Saccharomyces cerevisiae S288C: one gene and its partners. Changing the gene in region 1 together with any one later gene gives a genetic interaction. Each region holds a gene or a part of one and is shown on either strand. Other genes may lie near its edges. The genes, in order: YHR213W-B, PRP3 and CCL1.

Region 1 (11,115 bases):
TCTGACCATGACTTCCAATCTGACATTGAACTACATCCTGAGCAACTGAGAAATGTCCTTTCAAAAGCTGTGAGTCCAACCGATTCCACACCTCCGTCAACTCATACTGAAGATTCGAAACGTGTTTCCAAAACCAATATTCGCGCACCCAGAGAAGTTGACCCCAACATATCTGAATCTAATATTCTTCCATCTAAGAAGAGATCTAGCACCCCCCAAATTTCCGATATCGAGAGTACCGGTTCGGGTGGTATGCATAGATTAGATGTTCCTTTACTTGCTCCCATGTCCCAATCTAACACACATGAGTCGTCGCACGCCAGTAAATCTAAAGATTTCAGACACTCAGACTCGTACAGTGACAATGAGACTAATCATACAAACGTACCAATATCCAGTACGGGTGGTACCAATAATAAAACTGTTCCGCAGACAAGCGAACAGGAGACTGAGAAAAGGATCATACACCGTTCACCTTCGATCGATACTTCCTCATCAGAAAGTAATTCACTACACCACGTCGTTCCTATCAAAACGTCAGATACCTGTCCTAAGGAGAATACAGAGGAATCTATTATCGCTGATCTTCCACTCCCCGATCTGCCTCCAGAACCTCCTACCGAATTATCAGACTCCTTTAAAGAACTCCCACCGATAAATTCTCATCAAACTAATTCCAGTTTGGGTGGTATTGGTGACTCTAATGCCTATACTACTATCAACAGTAAGAAAAGATCATTAGAAGATAATGAAACTGAAATTAAGGTATCACGAGACACATGGAATACTAAGAATATGCGTAGTTTAGAACCTCCGAGATCGAAGAAACGAATTCACCTGATTGCAGCTGTAAAAGCAGTAAAATCAATCAAACCAATACGAACAACCTTACGATACGATGAGGCAATCACCTATAATAAAGATATTAAAGAAAAAGAAAAATATATCCAGGCATACCACAAAGAAGTCAATCAACTGTTGATGATGAAAACTTGGGACACTGACAGATATTATGACAGAAAAGAAATAGACCCCAAAAGAGTAATAAATTCAATGTTTATCTTTAACAGGAAACGTGACGGTACTCATAAAGCTAGATTTGTTGCAAGAGGTGATATTCAACATCCTGACACTTACGACCCAGGCATGCAATCCAATACCGTACATCACTATGCATTAATGACATCCCTGTCACTTGCATTAGACAATAACTACTATATTACACAATTAGACATATCTTCGGCATATTTGTATGCAGACATCAAAGAAGAACTATACATAAGACCTCCACCACATTTAGGAATGAATGATAAGTTGATACGTTTGAAGAAATCACTTTATGGATTGAAACAAAGTGGAGCGAACTGGTACGAAACTATCAAATCATACCTGATAAAACAGTGTGGTATGGAAGAAGTTCGTGGATGGTCATGCGTATTTAAGAATAGTCAAGTAACAATTTGCTTATTCGTTGATGATATGATATTGTTCAGCAAAGACTTAAATGCAAATAAGAAAATCATAACAACACTCAAGAAACAATACGATACAAAGATAATAAATCTGGGTGAAAGTGATAACGAAATTCAGTACGACATACTTGGCTTAGAAATCAAATATCAAAGAGGTAAATACATGAAATTAGGTATGGAAAACTCATTAACTGAGAAAATACCCAAATTAAACGTACCTTTGAATCCAAAAGGAAGAAAACTTAGCGCTCCAGGTCAACCAGGTCTTTATATAGACCAGGATGAACTAGAAATAGATGAAGATGAATACAAAGAGAAGGTACATGAAATGCAAAAGTTGATTGGTCTAGCTTCATATGTTGGATATAAATTTAGATTTGACTTACTATACTACATCAACACACTTGCTCAACATATACTATTCCCCTCTAGGCAAGTTTTAGACATGACATATGAGTTAATACAATTCATGTGGGACACTAGAGATAAACAACTGATATGGCACAAAAACAAACCTACCGAGCCAGATAATAAACTAGTCGCAATAAGTGATGCTTCATATGGTAACCAACCATATTACAAGTCACAAATTGGCAACATATATTTACTTAATGGAAAGGTAATTGGAGGAAAGTCCACCAAGGCTTCATTAACATGTACTTCAACTACGGAAGCAGAAATACACGCGATAAGTGAATCTGTCCCATTATTAAATAACCTCAGTCACCTTGTGCAAGAACTTAACAAGAAACCAATTACTAAAGGATTACTAACCGACAGTAAATCTACAATCAGTATAATTATATCCAATAATGAAGAGAAATTTAGAAACAGATTTTTTGGTACTAAAGCAATGAGACTAAGAGATGAAGTATCAGGAAATCATCTGCACGTATGCTATATCGAAACCAAAAAGAATATTGCAGACGTAATGACCAAACCTCTTCCGATAAAAACATTCAAACTATTAACAAACAAATGGATTCATTAGATCTATTACATTATGGGTGGTATGTTGGAATAAAAATCCACTATCGTCTATCAACTAATAGTTATATTATCAATATATTATCATATACGGTGTTAAGATGATGACATAAGTTATGAGAAGCTGTCATCGAGGTTAGAGGAAGCTGAAGTGCAAGGATTGATAATGTAATAGGATAATGAAACATATAAAACGGAATGAGGAATAATCGTAATATTAGTATGTAGAAATATAGATTCCATTTTGAGGATTCCTATATCCTCGAGGAGAACTTCTAGTATATTCTGTATACCTAATATTATAGCCTTTATCAACAATGGAATCCCAACAATTATCTAATTACCCACATATATCTCACGTTTATATATTAAAATACTTTCTACTTAGTTATTTTTAGGAAAGTACGGTTACGCACTCATTTTAAAAAAAAGCAAGGATGAAAATACCTGCCAAAGTACTTAAAGCATTGGTTCTCAAACCAGCAGCCATACCTTCGGATTGAACGACAATACCAGTGAAGGTGCTGGAAGCAGCAGTATGAGAAGTTGGAGCAGCAGACTTGGTGACTGTGCTAGTGGCCAATGATGTTTGTTTGGAAGCCTCGGAAGTGACAGTCTTGGTGTTACAGCCGTTGTCGTCACAGTGAGTAACGGTAACAGTAGTGTATGATTTTGGAGAAATGGTGGTTGCTGCAGTTTCTTTAGAACATTCAGAAGTGACAGTCTTGGTGTTACAGCCATTGTTGTCACAGTGAGTAACAGTAACAGTGGTGTATGATTTGGAGGAAACGGTTGCAGTTGCGTCGGTAGCAGTTGGTGCTGGAACATGGCATCCGTTTTCGTCACAAGATGTGATGGTGGCAGTGGTAGATGAGCATGGGACAGTTGTGGTAATGGTGTAAATGTTACCGCTAGCGTCGGTTGTTTCTGAACAGGAAACCACGACTGTACTTGTGGCATTCAAGTAAGTTAATGTAGTAGTGTAGACAGAAGCGGAACCTGAGGTGAAGCTGGTGGCGGATGCAGCGGATGCAGTAGAAGTAGTGGAAGCGGTGGAAGCAGTAGAAGCGATTGAACCAGATGCTGTAGTGGAGTTTGAGACACCAGAGATGGAGGCGCTAGATGAAGGAATTATTGAGTCTGGGGCGCTAGAAGAGATCGTAGAAGAGACGGTGGTAGAAGCGTTAGAGGATAAAGTGACTGAACCAGTGGCAGTAGAGACAACACCAGAGGTAGTGGATGCGGATGTGGATGCGGCGCTTGTAGCGATGACACCGTCATAGTTTAGGTAATATGAGTAGGCGCCTGCGAAGATTCCTTCGGAGACACTGAAGCCAGAACTAGAGAATCCAGTACCAATTTCAAAAGAGAATTGTCTGTTACCTTGGGTTGCAGTTAAGACACCAGTAGTACCGTCGTAAGAAAGAGCAGTGATGTCAGCGGTAATGGCAATTTGGTTCTTACCGGTGTAGCCAACAACAGGAATAGGAGTGGCGTTGGTTTCGGTTGGGTCAACGGCAAGAACACCTTCACCCTTGAATACAACAGTTTGGCCAGTAAAGGTGTCAGGGTAGTGCAAGTATAGGTTACCAGAGACGATGTTGATTGTACCGTTTCCAGAAACTGGTTCAACGATAACATAGGTACTTCCATTGTCTAGGTTGATTTCACCGTTATTTACAGAGCCTTCATCGTCGTCTCTACGTTACAAACCGGAAACAGAACCACCGTTGAGAATAGCATTTGACAAAGAAAAGGTACCAGCGTTAGAGTATGGAGAAAAGGTGACTTCACCCTTCTTGGCCTTTGACAAACTCAAAGAAATGTCACCGCTGCTCTTGAACGAGCTAGGTGTGAATGAATAGATAGATGCGGAGACAGCGCCAGTTTCTTCAGCACTGAAGTTACCGGAAACTTCAAAAGTCTCACCAGAAACGTCGAAGGCGGTACCTTCGTAGCTTGCTTCAGACTTTTCGACAACCAAATCACCGTGAACTTTTAGATCAGATGAGAAGACGTATTTTTCACCGTCAAGTAAAGTCAACTTACCACCGGCAGCGACTTCCACGGCCTCGGTTGCAATTACTTTACCAGTAACTGTGAGATCACCGCTAATTGTTGTGGATGGCAAATAAACGGTACCGTCACTGGAAGAAAGTGAGTCGGAAGCGGTGGCACTTGCACTAGCTGACGAGACGGAAGTGATAGAACTCAAGTCTGCGGAGGAGGTGCTATTGGTGTAAGAGTCACCGAGAGCGCCGCGAGAGAGTAGGGCCAAAGCGACAGCAGCTTGGAATTTGTTAAAACGATTGAACATCTCTTTTTTTTTTGTAATGGGCGAGAGTTTACCAATAAAAAGAAAGAAATAGTAAAGCTTGCAAAGATGAAAACTTGGACTGCTATTATGAGAACAAGAGTGAATATGACGATCCAGTGACAATGAAGCATATTGAAGTACGATTTACCTGCTTTTTATATACTTCTTCTTGTTACTACTCACGGACTCCTAACCCATAGCTATAGAGCCCGAAGCTACAGAGACCGATGGTGTGCTAGATCAAAATTTTTGTGCATGCATTTCTACGAAGAACATTCTCAAGCCCTGTAAGGCTTGTACGCGCGCGTTTGCCAACAGGGAACGAGGTGCTAATTTGCAGACCAACACATAAGCAATTGGCCAAAACAACAACAACAACAATAACAATAGCAGCAGCAGCAGCAGAACGCGATTTAGCCTGGCCAGATTATTGTAGAAGAGGCACGCGAAAACAAGAGCGGGGAAGGGGCAAGATTGTTTGTTACGTGGGCAGACGCTCAGCTACTTTCTATACAATCCCTACTCTGTGAGGTGCTTATTCAAGCAATGTTCTATAACTTTGGCTCAGAACAGATCATACGCCAAAAACAGAAAAGAAAAAGATAGCTATGTCCTAATGGAAGAGACAAGAAATCTTTGCGGCTACCCTCGAGAGAGTTAGTGCACTGTTTCTCCGTAGCCGCGAAATGCTTCTTTTCTGTCCCTGAAGCGCACGGCTGCGTAATCTCACTGCGACGCGGACGGCAATTGTTTTCCGCGGAGACGTGGCTGACAAAAGTCCCTGTGAAAGAAGGCGCTCGCTCTCTTCCGTGGGTCCCTGCTATATAACTACAGCAAAAATCAATCAACATCCTATTCCTGACGAGAATTACTCCGTCTCGTTAAAGAATATCTTTCCAGCGTTTTCTAAGGAAACGCGCAATGTCGCTCGAACTACAAAGACTGAACCTTTGGGTTCCATTATAAATTCTTGAACTTGTTTCATACCCATATATAAGCGGTGCAAAAGACAAAAGGGAAAAACAAAAAAAAAATGAAGAAAAACGGACAAACGGATAACCGGCACCTTCTGTACCACTACATCGCCCGTTTTCGCCAGCATTTCATCAGCACAGATTAGATAGTGTATTCCTACCTCCAACTATCTTATGCTTGGTTTGAATATTTTGGCCCAGTTTCTCAGGTCTTGCTTCCAGGCGCACCCAAAATGTGGTCTTGGTGTGATTGTCGTCACCTTGCCATCCTCTCTCAAATAACGTGGTTCTTGGTAATCTTCTAGACACTTTCCATAGTTTCAAGTCACGTGCGAATTGGCATGTTGCAGAGATTTAGATGGCTATATTTCCTCAAGTTAGCGCATTTGGCTTACTTGATCAGGCGCTTACGAGCTACATTTACGCCTGTCTGTATAATTTTGTTTCTTGACGATGGGATTCTCATAAGAAAGTCCAGAGTTGTTCGCAAGGTTAGACACTTTTAGCAGCTAGTGCGTGGTACTTGTAGAATTGCGAACCGGGCATTACAAAACAAGCCCTTTTTTAGCGCTGTCAAGAGCAGAAACTGTAAGTATGCCAGAGTTAGTTGCCGCCCCAATGCTCTTTTCCTGGGCCAATTCGAGAAGTTGAACAGCTTTGGATATTACTGATAAAGAGATGTTTGCCTTGGGGGGCTACTACGGTAATAAGCGTCTTGTCGCTAATGACATGCCAGCAATCACTAAGATTGTTTCGCTCTCAGAAGAACCAGAGGTGGAACTACTGGTTTGAATGACGGATGATTTAGATGATTCAGAGAATGTAGAAGTGGAGGTCGTTGCAGAAGAAGAAATGACCGAGGAAGACATGACTGAGGAAGAAACTACAGAAGTTCCATTGCTGCGATAGAATGGAGTAATAATTGGATGCTAAGACGTGATAGAGCTGGTGATTTGTTCTGAAGAAGATGATGACAAACTGGATGAGGTGGCAGTGGTTGGAGCTTTGGCAACAATAACGGTTTCGTCAGTTGGTTGACCATTAGTACCGGTGACGGTGGTCATTTCAGTAGATGTAGAAGTAAAAGTACCAGTCCACAGTTCGGTAGTAGTTGTGACGATGCTAGTAGTATGTTTTGAAGGATCAGGGATAGTACAATTTGACTGACTTAAATCATCGTCAAAAGAGTAAACGTACCCTTCAAAGTCATCACTAACAGTAGTACCATCAGGCAATTCCACGCTAATTGGAAGCGTGCCCCAGGAAACGGCATTGGAGTAAACAACCTTCAGCGGATAATAGTAGCCTGCATACATGTAGACAGTCCCTCCGATGTTATCAGGCAAACTTCCTTGCCATGGCTTAATACCATTGATTGTAAAATCCGTCGATGTAATTGGAGGTTGTTCTTGTGCACAACATTCGAACGCAACGTTACCACCGACTGATAGAATTGCAGAGTCATCGACCTTAGCAAACCTGAACGTGTAAGAACTTGTTTGTGGTGGTAAAAAGTAACCTGTCATTTCTAGAGTAGCGTTTTTTGGGATAGTAAGAAACCAAGTAAATCAGTACTCCAATAGGTCTTTCTTGGCTATTTTGAACATTCACTATGACCTCTGCATCCCCAGTTTCCATAAGCATCTGATTGAGCACATTTAAAAGTTCCTGAAGAGATAACACAAGAAAGATCGTAGTCAATTGAGAAATCCGTCTGTCCGCCAACGGAACCTAATTCCAATTCGAGGCATATCCAGAAGTCATATATTGCGGGTAGGAATACGTTGTTGAATCCAGTAATGAGTATTTATAAAAGTTGACATTCATCCCATTTTTCCTCGGGCCCACTGGCAGGCATGCTTGTGTACTTCCTGAAACAACATTGGACGTGGCCAGGTAGGTGAAGAGTGCCAAAAATAAATAGTGATAAGGCATTTCTTGGTTCGTCAATCAGGTATGGGTATATTAAACAATAACTTTTAGCCATGCTGTTAATGATGAAAATTTTGATGCTGGTCTCTTCATATGTCATTGTTTTGGGAACTGTCTTTTTTCGATCAGATGTATGCGCTACGATTTGTTTAGCGTAGTGATGTTCCTGCGCTGTATTTAGGAAATTTTGGTATCGAAACGTCCCTACAACACTTTTTGTCGCTGATATCTGCACATGCGAGTAACGCCGATTCCATTACATTATTACCTTCCACTTCCCAGAAACGATTTATTACGACTCAACAAGTTCAAGAAAAAAATTAAAAAGGTTACAACCACATTTTGCGTTTAGGTGCAGCGAGGCTTACCTTGATGCAGTCCTAAAGAGTCCTGCAGCAGTTGTAACGAATCCTATTTGCTTTTATGCATTCCTAAACGGGCTGAAGTATAAGTCTTGAGGAACTCCGGGAGAAGATACGATAAGCTCTGAAGTGCCAAATTTTATTATCAAAAAAAATATTTGTACAAGCGGAAAAGGAGTATACTCTTCCTCTTTTGCTTCATCACAAGAGGATCATTTTGACGTTGTCTGTTGTACTACTTCTTTATCGGCGTGCGCAGGAAAAGAAAGAAAAAGGAAGGAAAAAGAGATGTCAAAAACCGATGTCAAAAAATCTCGTGAGGCCTCCGGAATTTTGACGCTGCAAGTCAATCTACGGGAAAGAAGAAATTTTTTAAACTTAATGCAAAATAAGCTTTTTTCTTGGAAAATAAGATTTTCGGCAATAAAAGGTAAATGCAGCCAAAAATCAAAATACTTCAGAAGAAGTCGTAGCGAGGACTGCTACGTGGAAGCGGATTTGAAGATCCTTTCCAGAACAAGAAGGAGCCGAAAGCTGCCAGGAACTGTTCCTGATTTTTTAGGAAAACAATTAATAGGTATCTCGTCTAGCGTAGTATCTCGAGTTTCCAGAAGTTGCAGATAATCAAAATCATTGTTTTATCGCTTTTTTTAAATTACAGCTTAGAAGAGTAGAGAGCAAGTTTACTGAAACGGTTCCTTGTTTACAATAATATTCCTAACAAACTTCACGAATTAGGATGCAGCATGATTTTTTATCTTGCTTCACTTCCTAAAGTATGAATTTTTATCCGTAGTCGCAACCAAAACAGCTACTGGAAATTTGCAGCTTGTTAAAAACCGGTAGTTTCCGAATACTCCTCGTCCTTGAGTTGTATACCGTTAAACTTCCTAGGGTATCATGTGTCTGGCCCAAAATTGACCCACAAAATCTGGTCCTATTGACGGTCTTCTTTTGATTTTCAGCATCCTACTCTAAGAAGGACAGAAAATTATGAAATATATGGGAGAAACGGCCTCCCAACTGCTAAGTGTTCCCGGCAGCACGAGTAAGCAAAATTCAGGCAACCTATTGCATTAAGAAGCCCTACATAATTCAGCGTGATATGATGGAGTTTTGTTAATTGCAAATTTTAGTACGATTTGGTTGTTAGTGTGTGTTTATGCAAGTAATTATTGAACCCTAAGTAGTTACTGTCTTCTTTTGCTGTAATTCGTGGATTCATGGCCCTCCAGCAACATGGATTGAAAGGTTCTTTAAAGTTTTTAATCCGTAAAGTTCTGAAATGTATTTTAATCATGTCAATAATTCAACTGGTGGGTAGCATTTATGACCAAAAGCGTACTTAAATTAGCAGCAAAAAAATTTTTAATAACGAAACTATAAGGAAAAAAAAATACGAGGTACTGATTATGAGAGTTCCAGTTTCTCATTTTTGAGACATGATCTGAACAAGGCTGAAAACAGCAATCTTTTTCAATAACTTTTGCAAAAATTTCAAACATTGTTGTTTGAATGCAGCTAATTTTTATAGAGTACAGAGCTCAATGCTTTACATGTGCTTTATTTCCGGTACTTTTCTTAAAATGTCTACATTTTCTCTCAGGACTTGAATGTCTTCGGCTGCATTACTATAAAATCTTGAGTTCCTAAGACGATAGTGGTGAGTGATGTAGTTCGCGTGTGTGCCACTGGTAATAATAGAGATAACTATCTCAGTTAAGTTTGAAAAGGTAAAGAATAGTCATTTTTTGCGACAGTCATTCTTCTCTGATGCACGTTCTTTAGACTACCTATAAACACCATTCTTACGGAATTATAATGGAAATAACACATCATTACGTGTTTCTGTCGGTGATAGAGGGGTAATAGAACCTTAATTGAAAAATTAGCACAGTGCATAATTTATTAACATGATTGTTATCTGTGGAAAATAAGAAATTCAGCACCAGTAAAAAACGAGGAATATAGGCACATAAATGTGCTCTTACTCGTATGTTCCAGGATGAAAATGTTTAGGGCATCAAGTATTGCCGAAAGGGCAATATGCTTTAGCACCAGAAAATCCACTGTATACTCATTACGGGTAAACAAAGCAAAAGGCAGTGCGTGATAATGTTTCTAAAATCTCTGTACACTGTTGAAATGCGGCTCTGATACTTTAGCCCTTAGTCCCTGATGGTGCCTAAAATGAGGATAAGTATATGAGTTTACAACGAATATAATGCTTTTTACCTCATCATATAAAGAATAATATCAATTTCAAAATAAAAATTAGACCCAGGTGGTAATGAGGAATGCGTCCTAATGAATTTATGTAGTCGATGCTTTTGCAGCATTTTTTTTTGTATTAATCAAAGTGCACTACGTGACAAAAATAAAAAGTGTATGAAAACAAAAAAATCACAGATTTTCATAAAAATAACATGGTATTCTTAATCATATATCGTAAAGGATTGTCAAAAATAAAGAGAATATAGTCGGTACAAACCATTTTGTACGCCTACAGAGTATAGTGCAAAAATTATAGTTAGGATTGTGACATCCCTTTTTCTTTAACATAATAACTTTGCTTCAAATTAATTGATCAATTAGGATAATAACTCTCAACACCTTTATTATTCATGTTTAGAAAGTTTATGGTCAGAGGGTGATTGGCATTGATACTTATACTTTTTTCTCGCTAGTATAATACGCATTTGTAATGCTTTTTACCGATGCGGAGACATTTTATACTTAGCGGCATTTTAATATTTAGTTGGGAATGCAGCCATATTGGATATATAATTTTGATAGGATTCATTAGTGGAAAAGTTCAGTGACAAAATCTAGAAAATAATATGATAACTATTACTTGTTTCTATAGGCATGCAAATATCTCCATTGTACCGTGATTAAATAAAAATACGCTATATTCCATGTTTGAATAGATCTTATTTTTTGGCTGTCCAGATAATAAACGTACTGTTTTTGACACACACCAATGAGTAGACGTTATTGCGACTGTATGTCCTTTAAGATATTCAGTGCAAAGAGACAAGGTATTTATTCGTTTTCTTGCAATTTCTTCT
Region 2 (6,024 bases), on another chromosome or scaffold:
AATGATGACAGGCGCAGTCTAGCCTCGATATTGGACTCGAGCAGTTCCGTCAAAAAGAAGGGGAAAGGCAGCAACGAAAAGTACCTACCATGCGTATCTTTCAACACAGTTCCCAGATCAAGGGTATCTTCGCCCTTAGATGAAGAGAAAAGAGAATTTCCTGGCGTGCAGATCTCTGCAGATTATACAATGGAGGAATATTATGACGACGAAAGTGGCTTTACCTCGGACAACAATGCCGACTACTTCTCCGGGAATAGCTATTCGAGTAGGCGAGAGGGCAGTGCTAGTCCCGGCAGGTATTCTTCTCCACCTCCTGCCTCTAAAAGAAACATCAAAATAGGTAAGATGTTTAAGATTTCTGAAAATGGTAAAATTGTAAGGGAAGACTATCCTACTACACCCACCGATATCAATGACGCTCTTGTGATTAGTAGGGCGTATGCCAATTGGAGACAACTATGGATCAAGAAGAAAAATCAGATAGATCATCGATTAGAACAAAAGCGCGATTTCTTCAATTACCCAACAATACTGTTTCCTCCAAACAAAAAAAAGTCGTCTGAGGGCGCTACTCCCACAATAAAATTCAATCCTCCCATAGAAGACGGCTTTACGCCTTTGACTAAGTCTCAAAAGCGGAAAGAGCGTGTTTTGAGCGAAAAGGTTGGGTTCCCGAACACTCCTCGAACGATATTGTGCCACATCAGCGGCAGGAAACATACTTGGGTAGCACTAGATTGGGCGCTACGAACTTTGATTCAAAATACAGACCACATTGTTGTGTTGGCAAACCTGCCCCGCCTGACTAAGAATAATTTCGAAGACAATGATTCGATGAGTGAGCGAAAAAGAATGCTAATGATGATGGATGATAGCAGGAGTGTTAGCTCAGCAAGAAGATCACGATCCAGATCGAGATCACGATCCATATGTACAAGAAGGGCACTTTCTCTGGGGCCTGAGGAATCTGACAACAAATTAAAGCACCAAAATTTTATCGAGTGGACATCTGGTTATACGCAGAACGAAATAGAACGTAAATTGCAAGATCTTTTTGATTATGTTACACTCATAATTCCGCAAGATCGTTCTGTCAAGGTCACTGTCGAGATCCTAATTGGCAAGACTAAAAAAACGCTTCTTGAGGCAATAAACATCTATTTACCTGATTTCTTTGTATCTAGCACTTTGAGGTGGGAGAGAACAGACAGCTTAGTTCGTTGGAAATCGAACTTTCTGACAGATAAACTGTGTACTAATTTTCCGATTCCAACGTTTATTGTACCGGCAAAGAGAATGTTCGATTTGGAAATAGATTTGCAAAAAGAGTTTAAAGAACCGGAGGTAACGAAACAAAAAAATACTAGCGGTCCAAAGCCTGGGTTCAGCCATTCTAAATCAGCAGATGCTAGCATTCCAACTATCTCAAATATCAAACGGAAGCAAGATAACGATTATTCTATAGATTCACTATGTTATGCCCCAGAAGCTAATGGTGCTAACAATAGTAGCCGAGAGGAAGCATCTGATGATGAGCTTAACGCTTTTAAGGATGATGAGAATGATGTGATGTCCGTGAAATCCTTAACCTCTAACATTTCGGTAAAGGAAAAGTTATGTACCATGGCAAGGAAACGTAGAAAGAGTATGGCTCAGCAGTTAAATGACGCCGATCATGATTCATCAATACCACCGGGACAGAGGCATTTGAAAAAACTGAATATTATTTTGGAATCTTCATTAAAGTTTTCATTAGAAATCGATAGCATCACTGATAGTATTGAAAATGGGGATGTAGACGAAAAGAGAGCACACTCTATGGAGTCGGGCTTTGAAGAACTGAAAAGAGTCATCACAGGTGGTGCTCCTCCAAGGCATGTGGCTACCCCGCAGAGGTCCATGCTTGATGTTTTGGACAATCCAAGTTCATCTAGATCCAAATCCAAGTCAAGATCAAGCTCTAAGTCAAGGATAAGAGACAAATCAAAACCAAGCTCTCCTACTGCTACCGATATAAACTCAAGTGCGAGTGCGTCGAGATCACGTTCTCCGCAAATCAAGTTCGCGTCGAGTGTCAAGAATGTAGATGGTAATGCTGCACTGGGTGCTATTAAATCTAGGCACTCGCTAGACAGCCCAGGGGACCAGCAACAACAACATCATCATCACCATCATCGTGACACAGATCAGTTGTCCGTTCCAGGCCTTCCCCATTTGGCACCTTCAAAGTCATATAGTGTGAGTTCTGGTAATAAGGATTCATCTTTGAGGAAAGTCAGTAGCTCATCTTCGCTCAGAAAAGTAAAATCTAATGATTCGAACTCTGGTAAACGTATTAAAAAACCGGTCGTAACTTCAGCACACTTGAAACCAAGCTCAGGCGGTGGTGGTTTATTCTCTTTTTTTAAGAGTAAATCGAGATCCCCGTCATCTTTCAGAAAGGAAGATGAGAGTAAAAATACGCCTAAGCGTGGCGGATTGTTTGGGTTCGGAAGGCTGTAGTTGGTCTTACGTTCTTATGTGTTTATTCGATATAATTCTATAACATTTTTATGACTTTGTGCCTTTATGCATAACATGTATTGTACATATTAATCGACAAAAATGACATTCAATACCCTACACTAGTAATTAATAATGCTGCAATTCCATCATCGCATTCTCACCTAAAAGAAATGTGGACAGTGTTCATTATAAGCTGGGTTCCTATTCGTATTTCCGGCAATAATGCGTGCTAAGTGAGTTTGTAAAATCGTTAAAATGAGAATCAATGTACAAGGTTAGTATCACGTCAATTCTTTCAAAGCTTTATATTATTAGGTATACCTCCTTTGAAAGTAGCACCAGTCAAGATAATGGATCTTTATCCATAGTTATTGCAATTACTTTCAAAGCAATGCGGTTGTTATTGTTGCAAAAATATTGCAATATTAACTTCTTAGGAATGGTGAATTGAATTGTGTCGTAACATACGCTGTAACCCTTGTCTTTTGGGTTTAGAATGCGGAAATGAAAAACGTATAGAACATGATGAATCTACGAAGTGCAAGGTCCACGAAACAAGACAGTATCGTTGCAATTCAGTGAAATCCTTAAAATGGTTCAAATATAGATACTGGCTATCTTTTTCATTATATTGGCTTCTTTGACCTGTCACAATTATAGGGTTCAACAGTTATCTTTGGAGGAAGAAGCTGCTCATTGATGAGAAACAGGATTTATGGAAGAGAAGTCACATTCGTGAAAGGCACATTCATCAAGAAATTTTATTTTTTCTTTTGTGCTTCCCAAATTTACTGCCATACTACTCCATTTTTTGACAGCTTATTCATTTAAGAATACGACCTAACAATAGTATTCCGGAACTTTTTAACAATATCAATGACGACTAAGAGAAAATGACAACTGCAGGGAACAGATTTTAGATTTGAAAAAGCCATGACATGATACTACTATGTTCTAGATGTGTTTTATCTCCTTTTCGGTAGCATTTTTTTGGTAATTATCTAGTACGAGAGGTGACAAAATCTGTTGTTCTCCTTTAGGTTGTCGTAGTCAACTTTTTTTGTAGGAAAATTCTTGCAAGTACCCTGAAGTTATGTATGATGCAAGTCTATTGATTGTAATCAATAAGTTTTTCTAGCTCTGGCTTGCTATGTAACGTAGTGAACAATCAATGTTATCGAAAAAGTTTAGGTAAAATTCTCGAAAATGAATGCTGATAATTACTTTTTCTTCACTCCCCAATTTTGGATAATACTTGGCAGCTATATTCGCGAAACAGGAAGGTTAAAAACTGCTTCTCCAATGAAACAGTAGTTAACATATCCATTTAGCTAGAGATACTGCTTTTGGCCTCTGGACAGGCACTGTGAATTGTTCTTATATGTTCTAAAGTAAAGAGCCATGACTCAAAGAAAGTTTCTTGACTATGTTAATTTTTTTAGCATACAAATTTTAATATTATTCACATCTGCGTTTTTCTGACTGGATCCCGCACTGATCAATAACAAGAAATAGTCCTAGTAAAGTATTAGAATGCCAGATGACGTAAAACAATCAAAAAGACTCACAGAAAACATCAGGCGATCTATTGAATTGGCTTGAAAAAATGCCCCCAAGAAATACCTATGAAAAAGGTAATCCGAAACGCCAAAATAGTCCATATTATAAGCCAAGTTTCTTACGGCGTGAAGAAACTACCAATGATGAGGAGAAGTTTCAGGGCCATGGTCTGAAAACCGAACTTCACTCAGCGTTAAAGTCTTCAAATTTGAATCTTATCCGAAGAACTTATCAAACTGGTGAAAATCCCTATCTTAGTGATCCACACGATCGAGGCTCATCGAGCAGATTTAACAGGCGTTATGAACGGGGTCTGAAGTTTTACCAAAAGGGAGAAATCAGTAAAAGAATTGCCCAAGAAAGAACATTACAAAAACAGCAGGAGGAGGAAGAATTAAAAAGAAAGTTAAAACAAGAAGAAGACGAGAAAGATAAAAGAAAATTAATTGAGTCAGGTGATTTACCCAATTTAGAGTTACATGAGGATAAGTTCCTATTAGATTTGTCAAAGTTCAAGATATACTATGATAATAATCATGGCTATGAATGGTGGGACACGGCTTATTTAGATGAAAAGGGTGAGTTGATGGAAAAATATGACATGAATGGCACATCGCCTGCCGAAGAAAAGCTAGCAGAAGATATTGATGAAGTAGACGATGATGATGATGATGAGCACCCATCTATAAGATATGTAGCACATCCCTTACCTGAAAAGATCAACGAGGCAAAAGTATCAATCAAAGCATATCTAACGCAACATGAAAGGAAAAGATTAAGGAGAAATAGAAGGAAAATGGCAAGAGAAGCACGGGAGATAAAAATTAAGTTAGGACTATTACCTAAGCCTGAACCGAAAGTTAAACTAAGCAACATGATGAGTGTTTTCGAGAATGATCAAAACATAACGGACCCAACTGCCTGGGAAAAAGTAGTGAAAGACCAAGTGGACCTCAGGAAGAGAAAACATCTGGAAGAAAACGAAAGAAGACATGAAGATGCTATTAAAAGAAGGAAAGAAGCAGTCAATATGAACGTTGAAAAGCCGACAGTATACCATTGTAAGGTGTTCCAGTTCAAAAACTTACAGAACCCAAAAATAAGATTCAAGTTGAAAATGAATAGTAAAGAACTATCACTAAAGGGTTTATGCCTCCGTATACGTGATGACGGACCAGGAATAATTATAGTCGTGGGTAACGAAAAATCATGCAAATTTTATGAGAATTTGGTGATGAAGAGGATAAAATGGAATGAAGATTTTGAGTTGCACACAAACACTGGGGATATAAAAATGGACATGCATAATAATTCAATATCAAAAACTTGGGAAGGCTATTTACAAGATTGTAAATTCAAAGGCTGGTTTATGAAAGTATGCAATGATCAGGATTCTTTATTACGTACGCTGGGTCAGTTTGATTCAGAGCATTTTTATTCACCTGTTCAAACGTGATATCGGTGTCTACAAAATGATACGCTTTGTTTCATATTAAATATTATTTTACTGTATGTCGCCCAGAATAATGATTTTTTTAGCACAAAAACATTCCAAAATATAAAAAGAAAATGATTTTATATGATAGATGTACTTCAAGGAAATCGACAATTAAAAGAATCATTCTTCGTAATGAATATATGAGCATATGTCTATAAATCAACAGTAAATATACAAACTCTTTATCCTTTTCTTGGTTTTAGGTATTTACCGATGTTTTGAGATGATATCAGCCAAATCTCAAACCTTCCCTGTCAAGCACTTGCCTGTCAAATTGGATCAAATAAACGGTTCGTTGACTATGTCCGCCTTGGGGCATTCGATGTGCTGTCACGCCACATGGAAATCCAGCATTGAAAAGGAATCCTTTGATAATGCCGCAAACGAAGTACTCACAAGAAACGTTCTCACCTGGGATAAATTGGGTTAAAGTGGGGAAGTTATCTACTATCATATAT
Region 3 (12,214 bases), on another chromosome or scaffold:
GCCCACGAAATCGAACAAGTTTGTAAAGGTGAAAAACTGGACAAACTGAAAACTTCCACCAATACAGTCGTAGAAGGACCAGACAGTGATGAACGTAAAGATATAGGCGATGATAAACCCAAAATTCCTACAATGTTAAATGCATGATTTTATTCTAAGAAGTTAAACGTATGAAGGAACCTACCTCAAGACCGAGAATGCTTTGTTCTTTTCTGGTCGGTTTCGCTTTTGCTTCATAACACCAGCAATGAAGCATGATCGCGGGAAACTTTCAGAATCTACATCTTCTCCTGGTCAGCTTGAAACTTCAGATTATTCGTAAGGAGAAATTATAATATTATTTCTGTGATAAGAAAAGAGGCATTAAGCTTGGGTATTTGCGACAAAATACTTCAGGATAACCGATGATCGCAAGTGGGTTATTAATTTCTTTCATCCCTTAACCAACCGTCGCTTTCCCCCAGTGACAAGCCTTAAAAAAGTCACACCATGGAACGGAGTATCGTTGATGATTAAACCAATCATTAATCTTTCATAAAAGTTAAGATAAAAGCACTTGTTGATATATATAGGTACATGTGTATCAATACGCCATACATTGTAAATAGAATATTCAATGGATAAACGTGTGTAGCAAAAATAATCACATTGTAGCGCTAGTTAGCAATTTACTCATTGTCACATTTTTTGCAGTATATATTCATGGCATGAAATAATATAAAATGGCGCCGGTCTATATACCTATGCATCTTAATCTATATATATATATAAAACAGAAACCTACGGTAACAGAGCTGTTTCATGTTTTTTGCTTTTTCTCAACGGTGGACGAAGTATCTTCTCCATTCAACTTCCTTTTTAATTTCTGAATCAGTGTTGATGGATTTTGACAATAATAGTTTTTTGCCGCAATTTTCTTGGCCTCTTCAGTACTCGGAGGTTTACAATCTTCAATAATACTTTTACACTCGCGTATTATGGTTAGTAACTTCGCGGAGTCTATCGAATATTCTTCGCTCTCTGTGGACTTCTCTTTGTTTTTCTCAGTTGTACTGGCATCATTTTGTGGTTCTTCTTTTTCGTTTCCCGGTACTGATTCCTGGCTACCTTCTCTGCTGGGAAATTTTGTTTCTAAATACCTTGTGACCAAGGCTTCATCCTCAATCAATAATGTTGCTAGTGTTATTTGGGGTGGAGTGTAGAAATATACGACATCGGTTAATAATGCGGCAGTTATTCTCTTCTTACACCTATCGTATATTTGGCCCATGTAATTTAAATCAACCTTACCATAAAGGACGTTCTGGATATCTAAGAAAAACCCATGAAGCGGTTTGTAAGGATGATGGTTCAACAGTGAAAATTTCAATGATTCTAACAACTTAAACTCGAATTTGAGAACACTATCTCTAGTAGATTTGGCCTTTTGAGCAAACGAGTCCACGCTAATAAAATAGTTCTCCGATTTGCAGGCTAGAAAGATAGTAGTATGTACAATACTTTTAGGATCTATTTGCATAACAGAATTTTCTAAGAAAAAACGCCTAAAAAAGGATATCGCAGTGGCCACTACTTCGGTTGGCAAATTTAGATGCTGTGCTATTACCTGAACTTTTTTTGCGTAGAAATTCACCAAATCGAGTTCTTCTTCCATTGTCAAAGGGATAGCCTTTGCTTCTAGTACTTTTATTTCTTCTTCTGTTAAATTGTGTGCTTCTCTAAATTTTAATAAATTTTCCTCAATGTAAGCAATCGCTCGGGCATTGGTATCTACCCTTTTCTCCTGAAGTTGATCTTTAGTGTATGACCACATTCTATACTGAGAAGAGTGCCTATATAAATCATCGTCAGAAATTCTTTTGTAGTTCGGTGGCTTGTTATTCTCATCAGCCGATTTTAATTTTGCCTCTTTTTCTTTTGCTGACATGGTAGCAGAAGGAGTATCTAATGTACTCTTTCCATTTAGTTGAATATCCGTCATTCTATCAATATCTGTGCAGCACAGTATTTTCCTCTCTTAAACTTAATATTCACTCATTTGTTTGAGATCTTTCTTAATATAAAAACTGTGTTAAGATCAAATTTATTACCCGGATTGTGAACGGCTTAAACAACGAAGGGATACCGCAGGAAATGAGAGGCCCTTTCTTCTCTGGATGGCAAACAGTTCGTGCTATCAAAGTCTGTACCAAGGTTATTTCACTCTTCAAGCCAGCAATAACTACTTTCTTTCAGGTCACCTCTCAGCCGTCACGTCTCTAGCTGAAGCTTTGTTATTCTCGCTTCACTAAAAACAAGTGTATCTACAATATTTACCAGTCTATTCGTATATCCCTTATCATTCTTTTTCAATAAGGGCAAATACTTCGGAAAAAGAAAGGAACATTCATCTTGATTCTAGCCGTAAAGCTATCACGTTCACTCTAAGCAAGCGGAAAGTTGAGCAAAATCAACGAACAATCTGAGTCAGCAAGGCAGTACAAGCATCTCTTCTTTGCCCCTCAAAATTTATTTCCTTTTTGGTATAGTCTTACTTCCAAGTCCAAGCAAGCACTACGTATCACGACAAACCAACAGCCGCGCCGTTTTTATATTCGGAAAGAGAATTCTTGTCGTTATTGAATAATAATAACAAAATTTCTCCACTTTTCACCATATTACCACTCCCTTTTTTTCAAGTAAAAAAAAAAAAAAAAAGAATCTTATTGCTCCTTAAAAAAGGATTCATCAGTCCTTTATGAGAGCCTGCTAGTATCACCTAATATTGCATCTGTTTTTACCGAAATTTCCTCATTCCAATAATGAAAAGAATAAGATCGCTTTGGTTCAATGCGGAGGCTTCTTATTCAAACCTTAACAATTCTCCTAGTTTGAGGAACAAAAATAGTACCGGTAATAACTCTCGCTCTAAAAATTATCGTTCTTTCTCAAGGTTTGACTTGATCAACTCTATACTTTTACTGATGATGCTATTTTTATTAGCTATCTTCGTCACTGCATTATATTTAACAAAGAGTTCCAGGCTTACATACTCACATGCCTCGAGGGCTGCCCTATTTAACCCTCTGGGTGTGATATCGCCGTCATTGGGAAATCATACGTTGAACTACGATCCAGAAGCAAGGGAATCTTCTAAAAAACTTTATGAACTCCTTTCTGATTTCAACACGGCATATTATGATGATGAGAACATGATTTTGGGAAGTAACTTGTTCTCAAAGAATACATACTCGAGACAACCATATGTTGCTAACGGTTATATAGGTAGTCGTATTCCCAATATTGGGTTCGGCTATGCCTTAGACACCCTGAATTTTTACACAGACGCACCAGGCGCTTTGAATAACGGTTGGCCCTTAAGAAATCATAGATTTGCCGGTGCGTTTGTATCGGACTTTTATTGTCTACAACCAAAACTAAATTCAACAAACTTCCCAGAATTGGATGATGTAGGATATTCCACTGTCATTTCATCTATTCCACAATGGACCAATCTACAGTTCTCATTAGTGAATGATTCTAAGTGGTTCAATCCACAAAATGTTACGTTGGATGACGTAACTAATTATAGCCAAAACTTATCAATGAAGGATGGTATCGTAACTACGGAGTTAGATTGGCTAAACAGTCAAATACATGTTAAAAGTGAAATCTGGGCACATCGGCACATTCATCCACTGGGAGTGGTTTCTTTGGAAATTTCCCTGAATACGGACCATTTACCTTCGGATTTTGATTCATTAGATGTTAATATATGGGATATACTTGATTTCAACACATCACATAGGACTGTTCTACATAGCACGGGAACAGACGAAAAAAATAATGCGGTTTTCATGATTGTTCAGCCAGATAACGTTCCATCTTCTAATTGCGCTATTTACTCAACGTGTACTGTAAAGTATGAAAATTCCACCAATCCAATAAATTCTAGTGAATCTTTTGAAGAAAAAGATGTTTCTTCTAATATTTATAATGTTATTTTGACAGAGGACCAACCCAAGATAATCGTTCATAAGTATGTTGGTATTATGTCTACTGAGTTCAATAAGAACAAAGAACAACAAGACAATACTAATATTGGTTTGGCCAAAATGATAGCTCTAAACAGTAAAGGCAATTACGAGAAGCTTCTGTCAAGTCACAAACGTGCGTGGTATGACCTTTACAACGACGCCTTCATTGAAATTCCTTCTGACAGTCTTTTAGAAATGACAGCAAGATCGTCCCTATTCCATTTACTAGCAAATACAAGAGATTACAATGTCTCGAGCGATAGGGGTCTTCCCGTGGGAGTTTCTGGTTTGTCATCAGATTCCTATGGTGGTATGGTGTTCTGGGACGCAGATATATGGATGGAACCTGCCCTATTGCCTTTCTTCCCAAATGTGGCTCAAAATATGAATAATTACAGAAATGCTACACATTCGCAGGCAAAGTTAAATGCAGAGAAATATGGATACCCCGGAGCAATATACCCCTGGACATCTGGTAAGTACGCTAATTGTACTTCTACGGGACCTTGTGTCGATTACGAATACCATATTAACGTTGATGTCGCTATGGCCTCCTTTTCCATATACTTGAATGGACACGAAGGGATTGATGACGAGTATCTGAGATATACTACATGGCCAATTATCAAAAACGCAGCCCAATTTTTTACTGCTTATGTTAAGTACAATTCTTCCCTAGGATTGTATGAAACATATAATTTGACAGATCCCGACGAGTTTGCTAATCACATCAATAACGGGGCTTTCACGAATGCTGGCATTAAAACACTTCTAAAGTGGGCAACAGACATTGGCAATCATCTCGGCGAGGTCGTTGACCCCAAATGGAGTGAAATTTCCAAAGATATTTATATCCCTAGATCCTCATCTAACATCACTTTGGAATATTCTGGTATGAATAGCTCAGTGGAGATTAAACAGGCGGATGTGACTTTAATGGTTTACCCACTTGGATATATCAATGATGAATCCATATTGAACAATGCAATTAAAGATCTTTATTATTATTCAGAAAGACAGTCTGCGTCTGGGCCTGCAATGACATATCCGGTTTTTGTGGCCGCAGCTGCTGGTCTGCTGAATCACGGCTCTTCTTCTCAAAGTTACTTATATAAATCGGTTCTTCCATACTTACGGGCTCCTTTCGCTCAATTTAGTGAGCAATCAGACGACAACTTTTTAACAAACGGATTAACCCAGCCAGCATTCCCCTTTTTAACAGCTAACGGTGGATTTCTACAGAGCATTCTGTTTGGGTTAACAGGAATCCGATATTCTTATGAGGTTGATCCAGATACTAAAAAAATTAACCGTTTGTTAAGGTTCAATCCAATAGAACTACCGTTGCTCCCTGGTGGTATCGCTATTAGAAACTTCAAATATATGAACCAAGTTTTAGATATAATAATTGACGACCACAATGGTACGATTGTTCATAAATCAGGAGATGTTCCTATTCATATAAAGATACCAAACAGATCTCTAATACATGACCAGGATATCAACTTCTATAATGGTTCCGAAAACGAAAGAAAACCAAATCTAGAGCGTAGAGACGTCGACCGTGTTGGTGATCCAATGAGGATGGATAGGTATGGTACCTATTATCTTTTAAAACCGAAACAAGAGCTTACAGTCCAACTGTTCAAGCCTGGCTTAAACGCAAGAAACAACATAGCGGAAAATAAGCAAATAACAAACTTGACGGCCGGCGTTCCTGGTGACGTTGCATTCTCTGCTCTAGATGGGAATAATTACACGCATTGGCAACCCTTAGACAAAATTCACCGTGCGAAGCTATTGATTGATTTAGGTGAATACAACGAGAAAGAGATTACCAAGGGAATGATTCTTTGGGGGCAGAGGCCCGCAAAAAACATTTCCATATCTATTTTGCCTCATTCTGAAAAAGTCGAAAATTTATTTGCGAACGTGACAGAAATTATGCAAAATTCGGGAAATGATCAACTTCTTAATGAAACCATTGGTCAGCTTTTAGATAATGCCGGAATTCCTGTCGAGAACGTTATTGATTTTGATGGCATAGAACAAGAGGATGATGAATCTTTGGATGATGTGCAAGCCTTATTGCACTGGAAGAAGGAAGACTTAGCCAAGCTAATTGAACAAATACCCAGACTTAACTTTCTAAAAAGAAAATTTGTGAAAATTCTGGATAACGTGCCAGTGAGCCCAAGTGAGCCATACTACGAAGCAAGTCGCAACCAGTCGTTAATCGAGATATTACCCAGTAATAGAACGACTTTCACTATTGATTATGATAAATTGCAGGTGGGTGATAAAGGGAACACAGATTGGAGGAAAACAAGATACATAGTTGTGGCAGTACAAGGAGTGTATGATGATTATGATGATGATAACAAAGGAGCTACAATCAAGGAAATTGTTCTCAATGATTAAATGAAATGATGCATATAAGTAGCGCTTTTTTTAATATTATAAGTTTGGATAAAAGTTACCAATTTTTTCGTAGGATATATATTTTAAAGGCACTATATTGAAAATATCATGCATGCTTATATAAAAGCTTTTTTTTTTCTATAGGGTGACATTTAGGAGCAATAATTTTTACTACAAGCTTTTTTTGCACCTTATATAGTAGTGACCTTGAAATTGGTCTTTTGCACCAGCGTACTTTAATTCCACTAAGTACTGTTTAGCAGCCTGTTTTCCAGAGCCCACAACAGTTTTCTATAAAATTTTCACATGCATTATATAGACATGATCTACCTACCAATTTGATCTTCCTGCCATTGAGATCAGTTCTTTCATTACATTGATTGCACATTTTTAATTGGCGCCTTTTCTAATTTTTTGTATGAGTCCATATTAAAAAAATAGACTTCAAATTCCTACTAGACGATTCTGATTCCATCGGGATTACCACCAGATTTGATATTGGCTCTTCTCTCGTCAGTAGGGTTTGAACAGAAATATTCCTAAATTTCTCGCAACTTAAATTAAATTTGCAACGATAATGTTTGCATACATTTTTATATTCTAGATTCAATACATTAGAGGTAACTTGATGTAGCGCCAATCTGAAAATACAGAAGCCTACTAGGCAAATATTTAAAGCTCTATATACTATTCACGAAAGAAAAACGTACTTTGTATAAATTGAAGAAAATGAGTTTGTGTTAGTTGGGTCCTGCCATTTGGTATCCTGAAGGTTTTCTCAAGGTGGGGTGGGCTAATCTACAGGAATAGTTTATAGTAATTGTGTGTTAAGAAGTATTTTGGCTTTAAATGACGTCCCCCACAAATTTATTACTTCAGGTGTATAATGTATTCACAAATATGTTCGTTTCTTTTTTGCTCTTCATCGTCCCCAGTTTTTCCTCACCCTTACAAAACAAAAACGGCAGGAAAAGGGTCCTATGTAAATTAAGCAAACACTGCGGGGTAGAACCTAAATTTTAATGTATTTTTTTACAATCCAACCAAGATTAAACCAATTGCCGAGCTTTTTCCTTTCTCGGTGAAACAAACCTTTACAAAAGATACGCCAGAGTAAACGCATTCCTACAAAAAATGAAAGATCTTCATTATTTACACTCTTGTAGCCCACTAATCAATTGGTTTCGCAACATTGTTCAAAGGCAGTGGTTTCTTTTTCCCTGAGTATCCTACTATAGTACAAAAAAAAAAAAAAAGAGTGAAAAAATCAGAAGAGAAAATTATATCGATTATAAATTTTTCAAGTACATCGTCTATCGAAGCTAAAGACTTGAATAATTAAATTTCTGGAAATGGGACAAGTGTACTTATCAACAACGAATAAGGTATAGCAAAGTTTAGAGAATTATTTTAATTATCCCTATAAAATGAAACCGATATTTGAGATTTGTTTGGGCCTTTTTCTCTCCCATGAGCAGTGAAGCCTACAGCAGAACCGTCCCAATTTTCGTCGGTGATTTTTTCTGAAATTTGATAAAGCTGAGACTTAAAATTACCTGATATTTTTCTAATGTTTGATATTTTCTGGAAAACGCCATTAGCAATTCCTTGGCTGTTTTCGTTTAAATTGCCCTGTATGTCCGATAATTTATAATTTGTGAACTCATTTGAAGCGCCTTTTGTATAACAAATCTGCTGGGCCAAGCCTGGGAAAGGCAGAGCCGTCTTCTCGCCAAGTTTGAGAATCAAACAGTTTTGGTTTAGTTCACTTCCTGAAGTATTCATATTTACTCCTAAGTATAGGTCGAGAGGTTCAAATGTTGTTTTGATTTTTTCATTCACATAATTTGAAGGTAGCTCGACGTATTTTGGTTTAATTAGGTCATATAACCTTTGCGGTTCATTGATACCATCATTTTCGAGCTTGTTGATAAGCTCGATGATTAATGAAAACATTAAGATTACAACTCCTAGCCCACAGGATATCATATTGGCCGGATTTTCACCTACAGAAAAACATGATACCATAGTTTGAATTACTTGAAGTGTTAGTTTAGTGTCATCCAGTTTCTTTTCACTAACAGATTTTGTAGCGGCAGGTGCAGGTGCAGTAGAAGTTGATGTCACCGTTTCATATACAGTTTTGATGATTGTAACAGTATCTATCATGTCATCATCATGGAATGCAAAAAGAAGACCCAGGAGTGGGACGAACGAAGCAAGTATTCTGTAAATACCAACCATTTCTTTTTATCTGGCGCTTTATATGTTTATGAATAGTACGTTATGATGATTGTTTTTTTACAAATGTTTGTGAATTACACTAATGGTAATTCCCTCTTTAGTTAGAAGTAATGGAAAATTAGTACTTTCTAATTCTTGTGATCAACGCTTTTTCAACGTTGCCATCATCAACAGAATCTCGATCTGCTAGCCAACATCAAAAAGTTGTTTGCCGCACATCATGTAACCGAACTTTCAGTACCACAAAAACTAATATGCACGGCGCTTGAAAAGTGCTTTAATTTTGTAAACTATTTTGTTTTGTAAATTTCTAGGCAGTTGAGGCTACCGTCGTGACCACAGAAAGAAAACATCTTCAAAACACTTTAGTGACTGTCCATATAGCCGCCGAAGTTAGTCGCTGATATAATTTGAAACCTACATTATTATTTGTTCGTTTGGAAGACACGTTAGGTTTAGTATCAATAAACTTCCCATCCGAAACACTTATTCTACTAGTGTGTTTCATAATGCGTAAGCCAGCACGTATATATTCATCTCAATTTGTTACACACTTAACATACTATATAATTCCTGAGAAAATGCCCAGCTCATAAACATCGGTAGTCCAATTCAAGAACGGGGGAACTGAATTTGGGAGTAATCAAAAAAAAAAAAAGACGTTACTTCATCGTTTTTGTTGTCATTGTACACTTCTTTCATTTCTTTTCAGATTTAACTTCTCTGTCCGTAGTCGGCAAATAACGGTCCTTTAAATGCAAGGGATCATCAAGAGATTTTGAAAAACTGTGGAGCCAGATATTTATTTGTCAACTTTGGACATCTACCTTAGTCTGTCTGCTTCCCTCTTTTTGACCTCTTTTAGTAAACTCTGAGGTGGGATGACTGACTCTGACGGAGAAAGTATGTAGATATCTCAAGAAAGTATCAGTCCACGATATAGTAGGAAATATTATACAATACGTAATGGAAGCAAAGTGTGCTTCCATGAGTTTTAGACAAATTTATGTCCCTAAAACTTCGAACTTTTAACGGGAACAATTTTGGCCGTGATAAATTCTTTTCCAACGCTTATATTGATTATCCGTTATTGGTTTTTTGTTGGAGACATTAAAAGATGGCCAATGGCGTAAGAAAATTTTGAAAAAAAGTCAGACATTCAAGTTGAAAAACTCCTTCATCTTCCTACTTGAGTCTATATTTTCATTGATATTTCCATAAGAGAAGGAGCAGTCAAGTTCAAGAACCAACTTTCCGCAGTTGGCAGGTCGAAAAAATAAATGCGAATTCTGTGGATCGAACACAGGACCTCCAGATAACTTGACCGAAGTTTTTTCTTCAGTCTGGCGCTCTCCCAACTGAGCTAAATCCGCATATCAGAATGAAATAAACAAGCATTCTTGTGCTTTATAAATGGTCCAAGCGTCTAACTTTTAAAGAGTACATTCTAAAAGTAAGAGACGAAGACAACATTATAATAATTTTCTCAAGACATATATGTTTCACCGGCACGTTTTGTTTTGTCCCCTTTTATTTTGAGCCTGAATACTATGCTTTATAAAACTTTAATGCGCTCAACAAGTGCACCTTCCAACGGAAAAAAAGAAATTCAACAGGGAGCGATGCCATCATCACATGCACGTTTTCAAGTATTTATAAGACTTGCTACTTGCTCGTCCATTCATGACTTTAATGAGGTTCTAATTTATTGGTGCAACTCTTCAAACTAGCTGCCCAATCAGTGCTGGAATGAGTGCCAAGACAAGCGACAAACCCTGTCAATCTCCTGAAAAACAAAAATTAAGTGCTTGAGAAGACCTTCAGAAGAGTTGCATAGATAGGATGGGTGAGCGCAATTACTAGTTACGCAGTAAGTAGGTTATATGGCTGCTGGAGGGGCAGTACTGATTTAATCACAATCCGGATTAAACTTCCTCCTGAAAAAAAAAAAACTACATCAAGTCAAAAGATTTTCATTCACTCTTTGGAAGGCTGTGTGGCATTCTAACCTTTATTTTTTTATCACCATTCTCGAATTTTCGTGGTTCGCTTTCTTAGCGCCGTTATTCTCTCTTCTTGTCCACGTCAAAGGGAGTATGCGTAACCCCTTTCAAGGTTGAACGAAAAAAAAAAAAATATGTCCTTCAAAATTTTTTTTGATTTAAAACTAAAAAACATTCCCTTGAAGCTTGTTATTCCGAAAGAAAGAATCTAAAATTGCAATTGGTAGTGAAAACAAATAAACAAAGACATAACCGCACTCCAATCATGTCCGAATATGCATCTAGTATTCACTCTCAAATGAAACAATTCGATACCGTATGTAAGATGGTTTTATTGGTTCCATCGTCATCATGGTTCAAACAGCCAAATGACCCGACACACGTAACCGAAGCAGTTATACTAACAAGAAAGCTAATTTTCACCCTCCTTGCTACATTTTTTTCTACAGAAGTACTCTGGTAATAGAATTTTACAGCAATTAGAAAATAAAACTAATTTGCCTAAATCTTATTTAGTTGCTGGTTTAGGTTTCGCTTATCTCCTTTTGATTTTTATTAACGTCGGAGGTGTAGGTGAAATTCTTTCCAATTTTGCTGGGTTTGTGTTGCCAGCATATTTATCGTTGGTTGCTTTGAAGACACCAACGTCCACCGATGACACACAACTCTTGACCTACTGGATTGTCTTTTCATTTTTGAGTGTCATTGAATTCTGGTCCAAGGCAATTCTATATTTGATTCCATTCTACTGGTTTTTGAAAACCGTTTTCTTAATCTACATTGCCTTGCCTCAAACTGGTGGCGCTAGAATGATCTATCAAAAGATCGTAGCCCCATTGACCGACAGATATATCCTAAGAGATGTTAGCAAGACAGAAAAGGATGAAATTAGAGCTTCCGTCAATGAGGCTTCTAAGGCTACAGGTGCTTCTGTTCATTAAGAGGCAACTCACCTATATCCTCAAATCAAACTCTCGTTTTTGTTCTCTTTGTTATCTATTCTATTGAGAGCATATAAGTACATATGTTATTAGTTGTTATATATCGCTACTTAACATATAAAATATTTTGGAGTCGTTTATGGTGTCCCAGAAGATAGCATTTCTATTCATCGTGTTGTGTCGTGACGTGTCTCTTGATATGCGCGACAGACCATCCAACGCAAGGTCATTAATCATGTTATGTTCTGTAATTTTAAAGGCATTTTTTATAGAGTTTCATCGAATTTGTGATCGAACTGTTCATTGGTGATAGATGAAGAGCCATTTAAATGAAAATCCAACTTAACTCTTAACTTCAGTTTCCCAGATCCAGAAATTTTCAATGACTGCTTGCAAATTTGGCTGGCGTTTATTGTGGAAGATGGATATAACTGGCCTAGTGTTAGCTTTTGAGCTTTAGGAACGGCACAGAAAGTTTTTAAGTCAGATATTAAAGACTTTGCCTGAAAATATAAATCCAAATGTGCTAATCCAGAGTTTGCAGAGAGCAAGGAAGCATATACATTCAGTGAGGAACTGTCATATATCT

Evidence for each region.
Region 2: mutations in YHR213W-B (region 1) and PRP3 together harm fitness more than expected from each alone (negative genetic interaction), as found in Saccharomyces cerevisiae (one large-scale study listed by BioGRID).
Region 3: mutations in YHR213W-B (region 1) and CCL1 together harm fitness more than expected from each alone (negative genetic interaction), as found in Saccharomyces cerevisiae (one large-scale study listed by BioGRID).

The regions. Positions count from the first base shown.
Region 1 is NC_001140.6:535,312-546,426, reverse strand, and holds YHR213W-B (uncharacterized protein), read right to left. Parts: upstream 5,628-11,115; coding exon 5,328-5,627; downstream 1-5,327. Other genes in the region: YHR214W (uncharacterized protein), read right to left, coding at 4,165-4,776; YHR213W-A (uncharacterized protein), read right to left, coding at 5,645-5,878; YHR213W (uncharacterized protein), read right to left, coding at 6,680-7,276; YHR212W-A (uncharacterized protein), read right to left, coding at 7,482-7,685.
Region 2 is NC_001136.10:1,403,945-1,409,968, reverse strand, and holds PRP3 (U4/U6-U5 snRNP complex subunit PRP3), read left to right. Parts: upstream 1-4,114; coding exon 4,115-5,524; downstream 5,525-6,024. Other genes in the region: JIP4 (Jip4p), read left to right, coding at 1-2,505; TRAPP subunit TRS31, read right to left, coding at 5,796-6,024.
Region 3 is NC_001148.4:612,578-624,791, forward strand, and holds CCL1 (TFIIH complex kinase subunit CCL1), read right to left. Parts: upstream 1,982-12,214; coding exon 800-1,981; downstream 1-799. Other genes in the region: i-AAA protease YME1, read left to right, coding at 1-147; alpha,alpha-trehalase ATH1, read left to right, coding at 2,802-6,437; YPR027C (uncharacterized protein), read right to left, coding at 7,848-8,681; YOP1 (Yop1p), read left to right, coding at 10,950-11,000, 11,134-11,625; APL4 (AP-1 complex subunit gamma), read right to left, coding at 11,892-12,214. UniProt on the Saccharomyces cerevisiae protein: Regulatory component of the TFIIK complex (KIN28-CCL1 dimer) which is the protein kinase component of transcription factor IIH (TFIIH) and phosphorylates the C-terminal domain of RNA polymerase II during transition from transcription to elongation after preinitiation complex (PIC) formation, thereby positively regulating transcription.